Anolis sagrei: one gene and its partner. The protein of the gene in region 2 purifies or fractionates together with the protein of the main gene of each other region. This does not show direct contact. Links are inferred from orthologs where the notes say so. Each region holds a gene or a part of one and is shown on either strand. Other genes may lie near its edges.

The links.
Region 1: the proteins of SH3PXD2A (region 2) and FGD1 purify together in Homo sapiens (affinity purification with mass spectrometry; 3 studies listed by BioGRID and IntAct, with this or other methods). This does not show direct contact. The link is inferred for Anolis sagrei from reciprocal best matches to the Homo sapiens genes SH3PXD2A and FGD1.

The regions. Positions count from the first base shown.
Region 1 is NC_090022.1:173,375,642-173,384,018, reverse strand, and holds the start of FGD1 (FYVE, RhoGEF and PH domain-containing protein 1), read left to right. Parts: upstream 1-5,096; 5' UTR 5,097-5,440; coding exon 5,441-5,681; intron 5,682-8,377. UniProt on the Homo sapiens protein: Activates CDC42, a member of the Ras-like family of Rho- and Rac proteins, by exchanging bound GDP for free GTP. Plays a role in regulating the actin cytoskeleton and cell shape.
Region 2 is NC_090023.1:213,448,865-213,457,997, reverse strand, and holds the start of SH3PXD2A (SH3 and PX domain-containing protein 2A), read right to left. Parts: upstream 3,356-9,133; 5' UTR 2,703-3,355; coding exon 2,631-2,702; intron 1-2,630. UniProt on the Homo sapiens protein: Adapter protein involved in invadopodia and podosome formation, extracellular matrix degradation and invasiveness of some cancer cells. Binds matrix metalloproteinases (ADAMs), NADPH oxidases (NOXs) and phosphoinositides.

The DNA of each region.
Region 1 (8,377 bases), on a different chromosome or scaffold from region 2:
AAAGTTTACAAAAAGGCCTGGAAATTCACTGCTGGCACAAGACACCTGAGAACCAGTACTTCTGGGAGACTTGATTGTTGACTGAATAAAGGATTTGGGGAGAAAAACAAACCCTGGAAATCAGATGTTTACTGTTGCTCTGTTGTAAAAAAAATGTACAGTATTATGAAAAGTGTGTGACCATTTTTAGAAGCGGAGTGAGGAATGGAATTGAGTGAAAGAGGAAGGACTTGGCATTCTCCAATATACTGTGCAATTTCTTAGGAAACCCAGTCAGACCCATGTGTAAACTTTTATAACTGAAAAACAACATGCTTCTGGACATATTCTGCACCCAAGAGTTTTTCAATTTTCAGTACCGTAACTGCAGTGAGATCACAATCTTTTAGTACAAATACTGATTGATAGTCTCTCTCATTACTTCAGTTTATCTTATTTAGGTGAAGCGAATAGTTTCTGTGGTTGCTGCTATTCCGATTGGGTTCCCCAGAAATCCTAGATGACCCCCCTCCAAACCATCTAGAGCAGGGGTCCTCAAACTATGGCCCGGGGGCCGGATATGGCCCTCCAAGGTCAATTATCTGGCCCTCGCTCAGGTTCAACCTAAGTCTGAAACGACTTGAAAGTACACAACAACAACAACAACAATTTTATCTCATCAGCCAAAAGCAGGCCCACACTTTTGATTGAAATACTAATAAGTTTACATTTGTTGAAATTGTTCTTCATTTTAATTATTGTTGTATTGTTTTAAAGTTGTTGTTTTTTTGCACTACAAATAAGATTTGAATGCACACAACAACAATCCTATCTCATGAGCCAAAAGCAGGCCTATGATTCCCACTGAAATACTACTAAGTTTATTTTTGTTAAAATTGTTCTTCATTGAGTCCCTTGGGGAGATAGAGTGGAATATAAATATATTATTATTATTATTATTATTATTATTATTATTATTATATTGTTTTTAAGTGTTTTTTGCACTACAAATAAGATATGTGCAGTGTGCATAAGAATTCATTCACTTTTTTTCTCCAAATTATGATCCGGACCAGGCCCGTAGCCAGGATTTCGATTGGGGGGGGGGGTGTGAGTTTTTTTCAGGGGGGAGTTTCGGGGGGGGGGGCTGAGTTTCGGGGGGGCTGAGTCTGAGTGAAAGAGGGTCTACCCTAGCAAACCTTTTGTATTGTTACCCCAATACCCCCATGCATATGGGATATATTGATTATGGTGATCAGATCATGATATGAATAAACATAACCGTTTAAATAATTCACCAGTAAGGCCTTTTTGCGAACCACCATGTGAATTTCGGGGGGGGGGGGGGGGGGCTGAAGCCCCTCAAGCCCCCCCCCCCCCCCGAAATTCACATGGTGGTTCGCAAAAAGGCCTTACTGGTGAATTATTTAAACGGTTATGTTTATTCATATCATGATCTGATCACCATAATCAATATATCCCATATGCCTGATCCCATATGCCCGGCTACATGCCTGATCCGGACCTCCAACTGTGTCCTGGCCCTCTGTTTAAAATGTTTGAGGACCCCTGATCTAGAGATCCAATGGTAGATTTCTTTTGGCCTTCTTCCCACTTTGGGGGGGGGGGGTTTACAGGATAAATTGGAAAATGCTGGGACCTAAAACAATAAACTGTCCTGAAAAGAACTCCACAGTACTTCATTTGGAAGGAGGAAACAATGTGGATGAATTCATCAGCCTAAATCCCATGATAATCCCAGCTAGAATAGGCTCACTGAACTGATGGAATTTTGGGCATCTACATGTAGAATTAGTACTGTTTGACACCACCTTGACTGCTGTAAATCAATGCTATGAAATCATCAGTATTGTAGTGTTATAAGGCCTTTACATTTCTCTGCCAATGAGTGCTGAGGCAACTCCCAGGCTTCTATATTGAGAGATGGCAGTTAAAATGATGACGAACTGCATTAATTCTACAGTTTTGATCAGTGATTCCCAAGCTGTGGTCCGTGGAAGTGGAACTCTCTGCCCTGGAGTGTGGTGGAGGCTCCTTCTTTGGAGGCTTTATAGCAGAGGATGGATGGCCATCTCTCGAGGGTGCTTTGAATGCAATTTTCCTGTTTCTTGACAGGGGGTTGGACTGGATGGCCCATGAGGTCTCTTCAACTCAATGATTCTATGATTCAACTAGCGGTCCCCTGCCACGCGTTGCTGTGGCACAGTCTGGTGATCTGGGAAATAAAGTAATGAGAAAGTATTGGTTTCCAATATATGTAATTTCTTTATGCTTGTGGTTAACAGTATTTCTTGCTGTTTCTTTGTCAGTGTTGATGTGGAGATGGGGTTGCCTACTCTAGAACATGCAACATATAATTGTCCTTCTTTAGGGGTCTCTTTCAAATCTATGATACTACATCTCTCTGTGTGTGAATCATATCCTATCTATATCTATGGCTGGACGGGTCTTTGTCAGGAGGGCTTTGATTACATTTTCTTGCCCTGGTGGCCTTAAGTATTTTCTATTGGTAATGGGGGTTCTGTATGGGAAGTCTGCACCAATTCTGACGTTCGTGGGGTTCAGAATGCTCTTTAATTGTAGGTGAACTGTAAATCCCAGTAACTACAACTCCCAAATGTCAAGGTCTATTTCCTCCAAACTCCATCTGTGTTCATATTTGGGCATATGAAATATTAACGCCAAGTTTGGTCCAGATCCATCATTGAATCCACAGTGCTCTCTGGATGTAGGTGAACTACAACTCCCAAACTCAAAGTCAATGCCCACCAAACCTTTCTAGTGTTTTCTATTGGTCATGGGAGTCTGTGTGCTACGTTTGGTTCAATCCCATCATTGGTAGAGTTCAGAATGCTCTTTGATTGTAGGTTAACTATAAATCCCGGAAACTACAACTCCCAAATGTCAAGGTCTATTTCCTCCAAACGCCATCTGTGTTCACATTTGGGCATATGAACTATTCATGTCCAGTTTGGTCCAGATCCATCATTGTTTTGAGTCCATAGTGCTCTCTGGATGTGGATGAACTAAAACTCTCAAACTCAAGGTCAATGCTCACCAAACCCTTCTACTGTTTTCTGTTGGTCATGGGAGTCCTGTGTGCCACGTTTAGTTCAGTTCCATCATTGGTGGAGTTCAGAATGCTTTTTGATTGTAGGTGAACCAAAAATCCCAGCAAGTACAACTCCCAAATGACAAAATCAATTTTTAAAGCGAAAGACATACATTGAGTTGTTTGTTGTATGCTTGGCGGTTCTGTGTGGGAAGTTTGCCCAAATTCTGTCGTTGGTGGGGTTTAGCATGCTCTTTGATTGTAGGTGAACTATAAATCCCAGTAACTACAACTCCCAAATGTCAAGGTCTATTCCCCCTAAACTCCATCTGTGTTTGTATTTGGGGATATGGAGTATTCGTGCCAAGTTTGGTCCAATCCATCATTGTTTGAGTCCACAGTGCTCTCTGGATGTAGGTGAACTACAACTCCCAAACTCAAAGTCGGTGCCCACCAAACCCTTCTAGTGTTTTCAGTTGGTCATGGGAGTCCTGTATGCCATGTTTGGTTCAATTCCATCATTGGTAGTGTACAGAATGCTCTTTGATTGTAGGTGAACTATAAATCCCAGTAAGTACAACTCCCAAATGACAAAATCATTTTTTTTAAAGAGAAAGACATACATTGAGTTGTTTGGTGTATGCTTGGCGGTTCTGTGTGGGAAGTTTGCCCAAATTCTGTCATTGGTGGGGTTCAGCATGCTCTTTAATTGTAGGTGAACTATAAATCCCAGTACGTACAACTCCCAAATGTCAAGGTCTGTTTCCCCCAAACTCCATATGTGTTTGTATTTGGGTATATGGAGTATTCGTGCCAAGTTTGGTCCAGATCCATCATTGTTTGAGTCCACAGTGCTCTCTGGATGTGGGTGAACTACAACTCCCAAACGTAAGGTCAATGCCCACCAAACCCTTCTAGTGTTTTTTTTTTTTTGGTCATGGGAGTCCTGTATGCAGGGACGGCTCAATCATTACGCAAAGTAAGCTCTTGCAGTATAGTTGGTTTTACCCAGGGATGCTCTTGATGCTTTCTTGGGGGAAAATAGACCTTGACATATGCGAGTTGTAGTTACTGGGATGTATAGTTCACCTAAAATCAAAGAGCATTCTGAACTCCACCAATGATGGAATTGAACCAAATATGGCACACAGAACTCCAACGACGAACAGAAAATATATATCAGTGATTGGTGGGGGGGGGGGGGGGCGCCAAAATACTGTTTGCTTACCATTGAAAATTACCTAGTGCCGCCTCTGCCTGTATGCCATGTTTGGTTCAATTCCATCACTGGTAGAGTTCAGAATGTTCTTTGATTGTAGGTGAACTATAAATCCCAGCCAGTACAACTCCCAAGTGACAAAATCAATTTTTTAAGCGAAAGACATACATTGAGTTGTTTGGTGTATGCTTGGCGGTTCTGTGTGGGAAGTTTCCCCAAATTCTGTCCTTGGTGGGGTTTAGCATGCTCTTTGATTGCAGGTGAACTATAAATCCCAGTAACTACCACTCCCAAATGTTAAGGTCTATTCCCCCCAAACTCCATCTGTGTTCCTAGTTGGGCATATGGAATATTCGTGCCAAGTTTGGTCCAGATCCATCACTGTTTAAGTCCACAGTGCTCTCTGGGTGTAGGAGAACTACAACTCCAACCCAGTTCAAAGCAGATAATGTGGGATTTGATTGAACTGTGTGGAAGGGGCAGGGAAAAGGCAGAAAGAGGGGGAAAAGAAAGCAAGAGTGAGGAGAGACTGAACCCCCAACCTTGAAATTAATTCAAACTCTAGAGAAGATCAAAGCCTCCCTTTTTGAGACTTCCCCAAAATATTATTTTTTTGAGAGAGGAGACAAGGAGAAACCTCAAAGTAAACTGACTTCAAAAACGAGCTGATTCCTCCCCCCCCCCCCATAACAGCTGTTGGTGGCTCCCTCCCAAGTGAGAAGAAATCAATTGCCAACCCCCCCCCCCCCCAATATCCAGGGGAGGGGAGGAAGAGAGGGGAAAGACACCCCCCTTTTTTTGCACTGATCTGCTCCTCCCTAAAAGGCAGGCAAGGCGAACCAATCGACGTTTGTGGCTGTGTGTGGCTCATGAAATCCTGATTTTTTAAACACACACACACACATACAGAGGAAGGTTTGGTTGCAAACCTTCTTGCAAGGAGTAAGGGCGGAGAGGGGGGGATCTGTGGAGAGAGAGAGAGAAAGAGAAAAGGAAGGGAGGGAGGAAGAAGAAGAGGAGGAAAAGGGAGGGAGGGAGGAAGAAGAGGAGGAGGAGCAGACCCTCCAACGTGGAAAAGCTCTCCAGCCTCCTCTCTGGTCCCTTCCTGGCCAAGACTTGTTGCAAAGGACCTGCCTGCATGCTGAGGATCCACTCGGGATGTGTTTCTAATGGGCGATGGGGGCTGCCAGGGGCTCGACACTGGGGGGCCGCCCTGGGCTGGCTTTTGGGGGGGACTGAAGGAGGCAGGGGAGCCCTGCAGCCCAGGCATCATGCAGAGGAGCAGCCTGGTGGGCATGCCCAGCCCGGAGCCCAGCGGATCCTACTCGCAGCAGTTCAAAGCCATGAGGTTTTCCTACCACATCGAAGGGGGCGCCCCCTCTGCCTCGCCTGCGCCCCACAACCGAGCCGGTAAGCCCCAGCAGTGGGGATCGGGGCGTGTGTGGATGGAGCCAAGCCCCCCCTGTCTTATCTCGCCCATCGATGGAGGGGATGGGCTGAGGCCAGGGCTTGGGGTGGCCTCTGAATTGTGAAAGGGAAGTCTGCTCCAATGGTTCAAGCTTCCGGGTTCAGGGGAGTGGGAGACAGTGGGAGAAAGGGGGGAGGAGGGAGGCCCTTCTACCCTGCCCTATATCATCCCAGGATCTGATCCCAGATGATCTGGCAGTTCAAAGCAAATAACCTGGGATGTATGGGCAGTGTAGAAGGGGCTGAAATACCTGGGGGCATCAGGGCCTTGGGATGTGCCATCTGCCTACATTGACACCACTTGAGCTGTCAAGGCTCACATCTGGGGAATCATGGGATTTGTAGTTGAACAACAATCACAACAACAGAGGAAGGAATCCAGCTTCAAAATCAATTTTCTATATTATTATTATTATTATTATTATTATGGTATTATTGTGGTTTGGCGGCAACAACAACAGAGGAAGGAATCCAGCTTCCAAAGTAAATTTTCTATATTATTATTATTATTATTATTATTATTATTATTGTGGTTTTGCAACAACAACAGAGCAAAGAATCCAGTTCAAAATCAATTTTCTATATTATTATTATTATTATTATTGTATTATTATTGGGGTTTGGCAACAACAACAACAGAGCAAGGAATCCAGCTTCAAAATCAAATTTCTATATTATTATTATTATTATTATTATTGTAGTTTCGCAACAACAGAGCAAGGAATCCAGCTTCCAAATCATTTATTATTATTATTATTATTGTAGTTTGGCAGCAACAACAACAGAGCAAGGAAGCCAGCTCAAAATCAATTTTCTATATTATTATTATTATTATTATTATTGTGGTTTGGCAACAAGAGAGCAAGGAATCCAGCTTCAAAATCAATTTTCTATATTATTATTATTATTATTATGGTTTGGCAACAACGACAGAGCAAGGAATCCAGCTTCAAAATCAATTTTCTATATTATTATTATTATTATTATTATTGTATTATTGTAGTTTGGCAACAACAACAACAAAAGACCAAGGAATCCAGCTTCCAAATCGATTTTCTATATTATTATTATTATTATTGTAGTTTGGCAACAACAACAACAGAGCAAGGAATCCACCTTAAAATCAAATTTCTATATTTATATTATTATTGTTATTATTATTATTATTATTATTATTGTAGTTTGGCAACAACAACAGAGCAAGGAATCCAGCTTCCAAATCAATTTTCTATATAATAATAATAATAATAATAATAATAATAATAATATAATAATAATAATAATTGTAGTTTGGCAATAACAACAATAGAGCAAGGAACCCAGCTTCCAAATTAATTTTCTATATTATTATTATTATTATTGTAGTTTGGCAGCAACAACAGAGCAAGGAATCCAGCTTCCAAATCAATTTTCTATATTATTATTGTAGTTTGGCAATAACAGAGCAAGGAACCCAGCTTCAAAATCAATTTTCTATTTATTATTATTATTATTATTATTTGTTTGCCAACAACAACAGAGCAAGAAATCCAGCTTCAAAATCAATTTTCTATTTATTATTATTATTATTAATTTTATTTCCTACCGACCTCATGTTACGGGCAAAACACACAAACATTACAAAAATTCCATAAACATATACATTACAATGTAGTTCTTTAAAAGATACATATTAAAAACATATTTCTATAAAAACACGTCTTGAAATGTATTTCTATCAAATACATATGAAATACACAGGATAGATTAGAACACAGGACACGAATTTAAAATTAATCTCCGGGGTCATGTAACTAACTATGTTTGTAGTTTAGACTTATATGGGATCAGAGCAGAGATGTGTTGTATAGTCTGATATGTAATTGTTGTGTGGTATGACTGTGTTTGTGTATGTATCAGTGTTGTGTTTTGTTTTTGTTTTTTGTATTGTTGAAGGCTTTTATGACCGGAATTACTGGGTTGTTGTAGGTTTTTTCGGGCTGTATGGCCATGTTCTAGAGGCATTTTCTCCTGACGTTTCGCCTGCATCTATGGCAAGCATCCTCAGAGGTAGTGAGGTCTTTTTTTGGTGTGTGGCTTCTTTCTGTTAATTAAAAAAAAACTATTGAATCATATTAATACTAATATTTGCCCACCTCTTCTTGGGGCAGGGTAAAACATTGTTAACACAAAGAGATAAGGCGTGTACGTATCAATATTTTATTTGTGCTTTTCTCCTGATATTTTTTAAAAAAATTTAAACTAACAACAACAACCATCATCATAAATTATCTGCCTCCCCATGAGATGGGGTATTTATTTATTTATTTCGGGCTTTTATATCCCGTCCTATCTCAACTTCCGCAGAGGGACTCAGGACGGGTACAACATTGTGAAAAGAAAGAGATAAAGCGCTATTAAAATACATATAATAAGATACACAGAGTTAAAATGCAGGTTCAGATTCACAAGTTGACATTGACTGGGGAGGCTTGCAGGAAGAGATGAGTTTTGACCCTTCCTTGACACACTCTTACTCCGATGATCCCATAACTGGTGTCAAACTGCATCCGTTTTATAGTGTAAACGCATCCATAGCTGGAGCAAATGTGGATTGTTCTCTTTTGGGGGATTGTCCGAAGCTGCAGCCTCTTTAGGTC
Region 2 (9,133 bases):
CAAATAAAATTTGGAGCTGTGTTGTCGAAGGCTTTCATGGCCAGAATCACTAGGCTGTTGTCATATTTCCAGGCTGTATGTCCTTGTTCCAGAAGTATTCTCTCCTGACATTTCATGTGCATCTATAGCAGGTATCCAACCTGGACACAGCATATTATTTGAGAACACAGAAATGCTGGAGCACTCTCACAACTACCATGTCAAACTACACAGAGAAGCCACTGAAATCCACAGGCATGTGGACAATTTCAACAGAAAGGAAAAAACAATGAAAATGAACAAAATCTGACTACCAGTATTTTAAAAACTCTGAAATCAGGACAGTAAATAAAGAAGAACACTCAGAAAACAGAAGACTTCCAGACATGACATAATCAGGGCCAGCTAACAACTAGAAGTTTGAAAACATGTAATGTGAGTAGATCAATAGGTACCGGACTGGCGGGAAGGGCACGGTGCTCCATGCAGTCAATCTGGCCACATGGCCTTGGAGGTGTCTACAGACAACGGCAGCTTTTCGGCTTATAAATGGGGATGAGCACCACTCCCCAGATTCAGACACAACTAGACATTATATTAGGGGAAACCTTTACCTTTAACAACTCCCAACAAAGGATTCCCCCAGGTAGGCAGCATCCAGGCTTTGAAACTGCAAGTCCATTCAATGCTGATCAAGGTGGCCAATTGCAACATTCACACCTGCCTCAAACTGGTAAGAGTTTGTTTCCCACCCTGGGCATTCCACATATATATATACCACACTTGCCTAGTTTCCAACAGAACTCACAACCTCTAGGCATGCTTGCCATAGATGTGGGTGAAACGTCAGGAGAGAATGTTTCTGGAACATGGCCATACAGGCCAGAAAACTCACATCAACCCTGTATCTTGGGGCTCTTTAAATAGTCAAACATATGAGTTGCAGGCACTGTCTGCACTTGAGAAAGCCACCAATGCCAGTTGCAAGTTATGTCATCATAAATGCACCAATCTCCAATGGAAGGTGTCACGAGGCTTTGTTGTTGTTATTGATTACACACAAGCGCATTCTCAAGGGACAGGGATGGTGACATCACTTGCCAAAGCTGCTGTGCTTTTGATTTGTGTGCCTTCAAGTCCTTTCTGAATTGTGACAACCCGAAGGTGAAGGCATCACTTGGCAGAATTGGCTCAGAGGGGGTTTGCTCTTGCTTTCCTCTGAGGCTTGTCAAGCGTTACCATCACACTATGCCAAGAGGTCTGGGACTGGGGAAAAGGATAAAATAAAGTACTTCCTCCCACCTTCCCCATTCTCAAAAGATCTCTTTGGCACTTGCAGCCTTCAGTCCCACCAGAAAAGCTTCAAGGGAGATACCCCTCTCCCCTGCCATGGCATGCATCTTATGATTACGATTATGATCAAAGGCTTTCATGACCAGAATCACTGGGTTGTTGTAGGTTTGTCGGGCTATATGGCAATGTTCTAGAAGCATTCTCTCCTGACGTTTTGCCTGCATTTGTGGCAGGCATCCTCAGAGGTTGTGAGGTCTGTTGGAAACTAGGAAAATTGGGTTTATATATCTGCAGTTTCCTATTTTTCCAATATAGCCTAAAAAACCTACACCAGCCCAATGATTATGATTATTTGTATTGTCGAAGGCTTTCATGGCCGGAATAATTGGGTTGTTGTAGGTTTATCGCGCTATATGGCCATGTTCCAGAAGCATTCTCTCCTGATGTTTCGCCTGCATCTATGGCAAGCATCCTCAGAGGTTGTGAGGTCTGTTGGAAGCTAGGAAAATTTATATATCTGCAGTTTCCTAGTTTCCAACAAGACTCTTCATAAAATCATAGAACCATAGAGTTGGAAGAGACTTCATGGGCCATCCAGTCCAACCCCCTGTCAAGAAGCAGGAAAATTGCATTCAAAGAACCCCCGACACATGGCCACCCAGCCTCTGTTCAAAAGCCTCCAAAGAAGGAGCCTCCATCACAACCCGGGGCAGAGAGTTCCACTGCTGAACACCTCTCACAGTCAGGAACTTCTTCCTGATGTTCAGATGGAACCTCCTTTCTTGTAGTTTGAAATCTCCTTGCTTGTAGTTTGATGATCTATGACAGGCATCTTCTGAGGATACCTGCCATAGATGCAGGCGAAATGTCAGGAAACTAGGAAACTGCAGATATATACACCCCATTTTCCTAGTTTCCAACAGACCTCTCAATCTCTGATGATGCCTGCCATAGATGCAGGCGAAACGTCAGGAGAGAATGCTTCTAGAGCATGGCAATATTGTGCAACGATTTTGATTATTTGTACTGTCGAAGGCTTTCATGGCCAGAATCACTGGGTTGTTGTAGGTTTTTCAGGCTATATGGCCATGTTCCAGAAGCATTCTCTCCTGACATTTTGTCTACATCTATGGCAGGCATCCTCAGAAGTTGTGAGGTCTGTTGGAAACTAGAAAAATGTAGTTTATATATCTGCAGTTTCTTAGTTTTCCTAGTTTCCAGCAGACCTCACAACCTCTGAAGATACCTGCCATAGATGGAGGCGAAACGTCAGGAAAGAATGCTTCCAGAACATTGCCTGAAAAACCCACAACAACCCAGTGATGATGCTGATTGTTTGATGGCTCCCCTCTACTCACATAATGCTTGGAAGGGCTTCTCCTTTTCTCCACGTCCACCACGTTAGCATCCAGGACGCTGTAGGACAGCATCTTGGTCCCGTCCAGGAAAACCAGGAAACGCACACTCCGTCCAGATGTATCCTTGGATGTATTCCTCCAGAAGGATTTCCTGGGGTGCCTCCTCGCCCCCGCCTTTGCTTTCCTGCTCCGGTGGAGATAGGACAACCCCAAACTTTGCAGATCTTTGCAGAAGGCGAGCTTTCAATAGGCAGGGTTTGTATCAAAGGGGAGAATGTCTCCCGGCGCTGCAGGCATGCCGGCGAAGTCCTTGCAGAGTCCCTTCCAAGAGAAGCCTAGGACTGCGTTGAGGGGAAGCGCGAGGGAATGGAGTCAGTCCCCTCAGGCAGTTAGTTCCCGGAGTGTTTGTTGTGTTTGTTTATGTGTCTCTTTCTCTGGAGATGCCTGCCTGCCTTCGCTTCCCCCCTGCCTCCCTCCTTCCTTTTCCCTTCCCTTCCAATGCTGGGCTGTTTGATCTTCAGCTTCCTTAGAGAAGCCTTTGGCAACGCTCCTTGGTGCAGCTGCTGCTGTTTCTGCTGCTTGAAGGGAAGGAAGGAAGGAGGCAAAGGCAAGGCAGGGCGAGGGGCTCCTTCTCCTCGCTCGCCTCTTCGCCGGACCAGGCGAGGGGCTGGACTTCAAGGAGGAGGAGCGGAGGGAAGGAGAAAGCCGGGTCTCCCCTCTCTTTCTTTCTTTCTCTCCCGGGGCTGGGCACTCCTAGGGAAGCCCCCCTCCAGCCCGGCTCCTCCCCCTCAGCGCCTCCTGCCCGCGGGGAGCCTGAGGAGATTGGCAAGGAAGCCCGAGGGCAAGAAGGGATGCCTCCCGCCTCTGGAAAGCCCCCTCCCTGGCTACCAGGGCCTCGTTTCAGGCCGGACAGAAGCGTCCGCTTTGCGCGCCAAAGAAAAGCTCCCCGGGACTTCTAAGTCGGGAGGGAAAACTTCCAGCCTAAGGGACACCCTTGTTCCTGCCAAGTTTAGGGTGCATCTCCCGGTGACGCAATGGGTGAAGCCAGGCACCCTCAAACTCCGGCCCTCCAGCTTTTTAGGCCTTCAACTCCCAAAATTCCTGACAATTGAACAAGCTCGTTAGGCCTTTTGGGAGTTGGGGGAACAAACAGCTAGGCAGTTTGAGGATGCCTAGGTTAAACCCTTCTGCCCGCAGGACTGAAGACTGAGGTTCGAATCCGGGGAGAGCGCAGATGAGCTCCCTTTGTCAGCTCCAGCTCCCCATGCGGGGACATGAGAGGACCTCACTACCTCTAAGGATGCTTGCCATAGATGCAGGCGAAACGTCAGGAGAGAATGCCTCTAGACCATGGCCATATAGCCCGAAAAAACTTACAACAACCCAGAAGTCTTCCTTACTTAGGTAAGGATCCCTCATTGTCGGAGTAGGATTGGTGTAGTGGCGGTGGATCCGTAGGTGACTGTGGAGACCTATTCTTGATCTGCATCTTCTCCCGCCGTGAGGGCATTGGTTTCCAGATGGAAAGCAGTCCCGGTCGGGGTTGGCATGACGCACCTTCCTCTTGACACATTTCTCTCTTTCGCCCTCCATTTGTGCCTCTTTGAATTCTACAGCACTGCTGGTCACAGCTGACCTCTAGCTGGAGCGCTCAAGGGCCAAGGCTTCCCAGTTCATGCCAGAGTTTTTAAGGTTGGCTTTGAGCCCATCTTTAAATCTCTTTTCCTGCCCTCTGACATTCCGTTTTCTGTTCTTGAGTTCAGAGTAGAGCAACTGCTTTGGGAGATGGTGGTCAAGCATCCGGACAACATGGCTGGTCCAGCGGAGTTGATGTTAGAGGACCATTGTTTCAATGCTGGTGTTATTTGCTTCTTCCAGCACGCTGACATTTGTCCGCTTGTCTTCACAAGAGATTTGCAGGATTTTCCGGGGACAGCACTGATGGAATTGTTCCAGGAGTTGCATGTGACATCAGTAGACAGTCCACATTTCGCAGGCATATAGCAGGGTTGGGAGGACAATAGCTTTATAAGCAAGCACCTTGGTATTCCTACGGATGTCCCGGTCCTCAAACACTCTCTGCCTCATTCAGAAAAAATGCTGCACTCACAGAGCTCAGACAGTGTTGTATTTCAGTGTCAATTTTGACTTTTGTGGAGAAGTGGCTGCCAAGGGAGCGGAAATGATCAACATTTTCTAATGTTACACCATTAAGCTGTATTTCTGGCATTGGAGAGGGATTGGCTGGTGACTGCTGGAAGAGCACTTTGCTTTTCTCAATGTTCAATTACAGACTGAGCTTCTTGTATGCTTCTGCGAAGGTGCTTAGAGTGGCTTGTAGGTTGTCTTCTGAATGCACATAGATGACACTATCATCAGCATATTGGAGTTCTATAACACATGTTGATGTAACCTTGGTTTTGCACTTCAGTCTGCTGAGGTCAAATAGCTTTCCATCTGCCCAATAGATGATTTCCACTCCAGTGGGAAGCTTCCCATCAACAAGATGAAGTATCATAGCGATGAAAGCCCTCAAGGATGGTAAAACACCAAAACATCCAGGTGTCCCCTGGGCAATGTCCTTGCAGGCGGCCAATTCTCTCATACCAGAAGCAACTTGGCAGTTTTTCAAGTCGCCTCTGACATCGAAAAAAAAATCTCTACTGTAGACTTATTGCACTCTGGGGTAATAGTATGATAGCTGGGTCAGGAAGCTCTGAGCGTTACGGAGATGCTGCATCACTCCTTCAGGAGTACTGTTTGTGCAAAAGAGACTTAGCTAATGTAAGCCATGTTGGAGACAGATAATATAGAAGGAATGTAAGAGTTCTATAATGGTGAGACCCTAACCCTTACCCTAACCCTGAACCATATCATAAGCCTAAGCAACCCCTTACCCAACCCCTAACCCTTACCCTAACCCAAACCCTAAACTTTACCCTAAACCTTGCCCTAACCCTAACCCTTACTCTAAGCATCCCCTCCTTTCTATCCTTCCTTCATTCTCCTTGCTCTCACTCTGCCTCCTCTCTTCCCTTATTCACAGCTACCTTTGCAGCATCTCCATAATGTTCAGAGCTTCCGGACCCAGCTATCATATTATCACTCACTATGGTGCCACTTCAACTGCCATGCAGCCTGAGAGTTGTGGTTTGGGTTTTGTGTGTGTGTGTGAGGAGTGACTTGAGAAACTGCAAGTTGCTTCTGGTATAGAGAATTAACAGTCTGCAAGGATGTTGCTTAGGGAATACCCGCATGTTTTGATGTTTCTACCATCCTTGTGGTAGAGACTTGAGAAACTGCAAGTTGCTTCTGGTAGAGAGAATTGGCAGTCTGCAAGGACATTGCCCAGCGGACACCCAGATGTTTTGATGTTTCTACCATCCTTGTGGGAGGTTTCTCTCATGTCCCTGCATGTGGAACTCGAACTGACAAAGGGAGCTCATCCGTGCTCTCCCCGGATTCGAACCTCCATCCTGCTGGTCTTCAGACCTGCCTGCATCAGGGTTTAACCCATTGCACCACCGGGGGCTCCAATACACTTTGGCAGAAAAGGCTAGAATTCTCAGTGTTGAGGCCGACACCGGGCACCATAGGCTAGTGCTTCACTCAGCAGAAGGCACTAGAATCTGCTGGTTTCCTAAGGGCTCTTGGAGATCAGCTCCCAGAATCCCAAAGTTTCAGGGAACTGAAGTCCAACATATCCAGAAGACTAGAGTTTGTAGACAAAACTGGTTTAGACTCTTGGAGGGAGTTATTGGGTTTTCTGGGGGGGGGGGGGGGGGTAAAATATGAGTTCAATAATCCCTCAGTTAGCATATTATTCTGGACAATCAACAAAAAGGGAGTTTCTTTGATGGGTTGTTGTGAGTTTTTTGGGCTGTATGGCCATGTTCCAGTGGCATTCTCTCCTAACATTTCACCTTCATCTGTGACTGCAGCTTCATGGTTACCCATGCTATTCAAGTTCACTGACTGCAGCATTCACACTTGCTTCAACAGACTTGCTTCCCACCCCGAACCTTCCACAAATATATTCTGTTGCCTCACTGCCAACAGAAACTTTGAAGATACCAGCCAGATGCAAGCATAATGCTACAGGACATAATGCTACTGGAACGTGGCCATACAGCCCAAAAAACTCACAGCAACTCAGTGGTTCTGGACATGAAAGCATTCAACAACACAAATAGTTTATTCTTTTCTTGAAAAGGGTTGTAACAACATGGTGGCAGACATCATGGCATAGTGGTTTGCTTGTTGGTCTCTAGGACTTAATGAGATCAGGATTCTTATTCCCCTTCAGTGATGGAAACTCACTGGGCAATCTTGGGCAAGTCTCAGTTTCTCACTCAGAAGGAGGCCATAGAAACCTCCTCTGAATAAACTCTGCCATGGCACCCTATAATTGTTTATTTGTTCAGTCGCTTCCGACTCTACATGACCTCATAAACCAGCCCATGTCACCACTCCCAACTCCTTCAAGGTCCCAGTTCCTTCAAGAACACCATCCACTGATCTTGCCCTTGGTCTGCCCCTCTTCTTTTTTCCTTCCATTTCCCCCAGCATCATTGTCTTCTCCAAGCCTTCTTGTATTCTCATTATGTGGCCAAAGTACTTCATCTTGGCCTCTAATATCCTTCCCTCCAATGAGCAGTCAGGCTTTATTTCCTGAAGTATGCACTGGTCTGATCATGCGGTCCAAGACACTCTCGGAATTTTCCTCCAGCATCACAGTTCAAAAGTATCTATCTTCCTTCACTCAGGCTTCCTTATGGTCTAGCTCTCACATCTGTAGGTTACTACGGGGAATACTATTGCTTTAACTATGCAGATCTTGTTTGCCAGTGTGATGTCTCTACTCTTAACTATTTTATCGAGATTGGTCATTGCTTTCCTCCCAAGAAGTAAACGTCTTCTGATTTCCTGGCTGCAATCTGTATCGGCAGTAATCTTTGCACCTAGAAATACAAAGTCTGTCACTGCCTCCACATTTTCTCCCTCTATTTGACAGTTATCAATCAGTCTTGTTGCCATAATCTTGGCTTTTTTGATATTTAATTGCAACCCAGCTTTTGCACTTTCTTCTTTCACCTTGATTAGAAGGCTCCTTAGCTCCTCCTCCCTTTCAGCTATCAAAGTGGTATCATCTGCACATCCAAGGTTGTTAATGTTTCTTCCAGCAATTTTAACTCCAGCTTTGAAGGAACATAATACCAGTCCTTGCTGACCCAGTTGGAGAGATGGGAAAAACAAGGCCAGGTTAGAGTTGCCATTTCAAGACCATCCTGAACCCAGAGGTTTTCACGTTGAAACTAGAGATCGAGGGATGGCACAGGGGATACCATTCAGCATTGCTCATAAGTACTGTATCAACTGCGGGTGCTCACATCTTGTCTTTCAAAAAGAGACAGGCACCTCTTGTAATCATGCTATAAAATTTGATCAGGAGGGGGCAAGACACAAATAAAAAAAATTACTGTGCTGTGTTAAATTTTGAAACTAGGCAGCACTCTTGCTCTACTAGAATGTATAAACTGGCCACTTGAGGCAAGTAATTTTAATGCATGTTATCTCTTTTTAATTAACTAATCTATGCAGGTTATGTTTCCAGAAGTGTGTATGGTAACATTAGTAAGGTGTATGTGAAAACCTTCTTGGGCCAGGATTACTTTATTGTACCTGTTATTGATGAGTTGGCAAAGCTGGAATGAAAGTTTTTTGGGGAACATTCGTAAGCTTTAGAAAGTTAATGTTCTGAGCTAATCCTAATTTGAAATGTTGAAGGAGTCTTTCCCAGAACTGGCACTTTGTTGAGTTATGGAATTGCTCTATTTATAGGTTTAGGATGGAGCCAGTTACCTAGAGTATATACTGTACAGGATTGTTTTGGATATTAGTGGGTCATTCTGAAGGAGCCATTCTCTATGAGCAAACATTGTGCACAAAGCATTTCTTCTTTCACTGACAGTGGCTGAATGTCCTTTACAGAAAACTTGTAGGGTACTGTAATAATAATAAAGTAAAGGTGAAGGTTTTCCCCTGACATTAAGTCTAGTCATGTCGAACTCTGGGGGGTGGTGCTCATCTCCATTTCTAAGCCGAAGAGCCAGCGTTGTCCGTAGACACTTCCTATAGCATGTGGCAACATGACTGCATGGGTCATTGTTACCTTCCTGCAGAAGTGGTATTTATTAATCTACTCATATTTGCATGTTTTCAAACTGCTAGGTTGGCAGAAGATGGGCTTAACAGCAGGAGCTCACCCCACTCCCCGGAGTAGAATTGCCAACCTTCCAGTCAGCAAGTTCAATGGCCCAGCAGTTTAATCCACTGCACTACCACAGTAATAATAATAATAATAATAATAATAATAATAATAATAATAATAAATCTTAATTTATATCCTTTTCTCCATAAACGCGACCTGAATGTGGCTCACAACATTTGTAATGTACATATATGTCTTGCACATGTCATAAATAGGATGCAATCCCAGCATA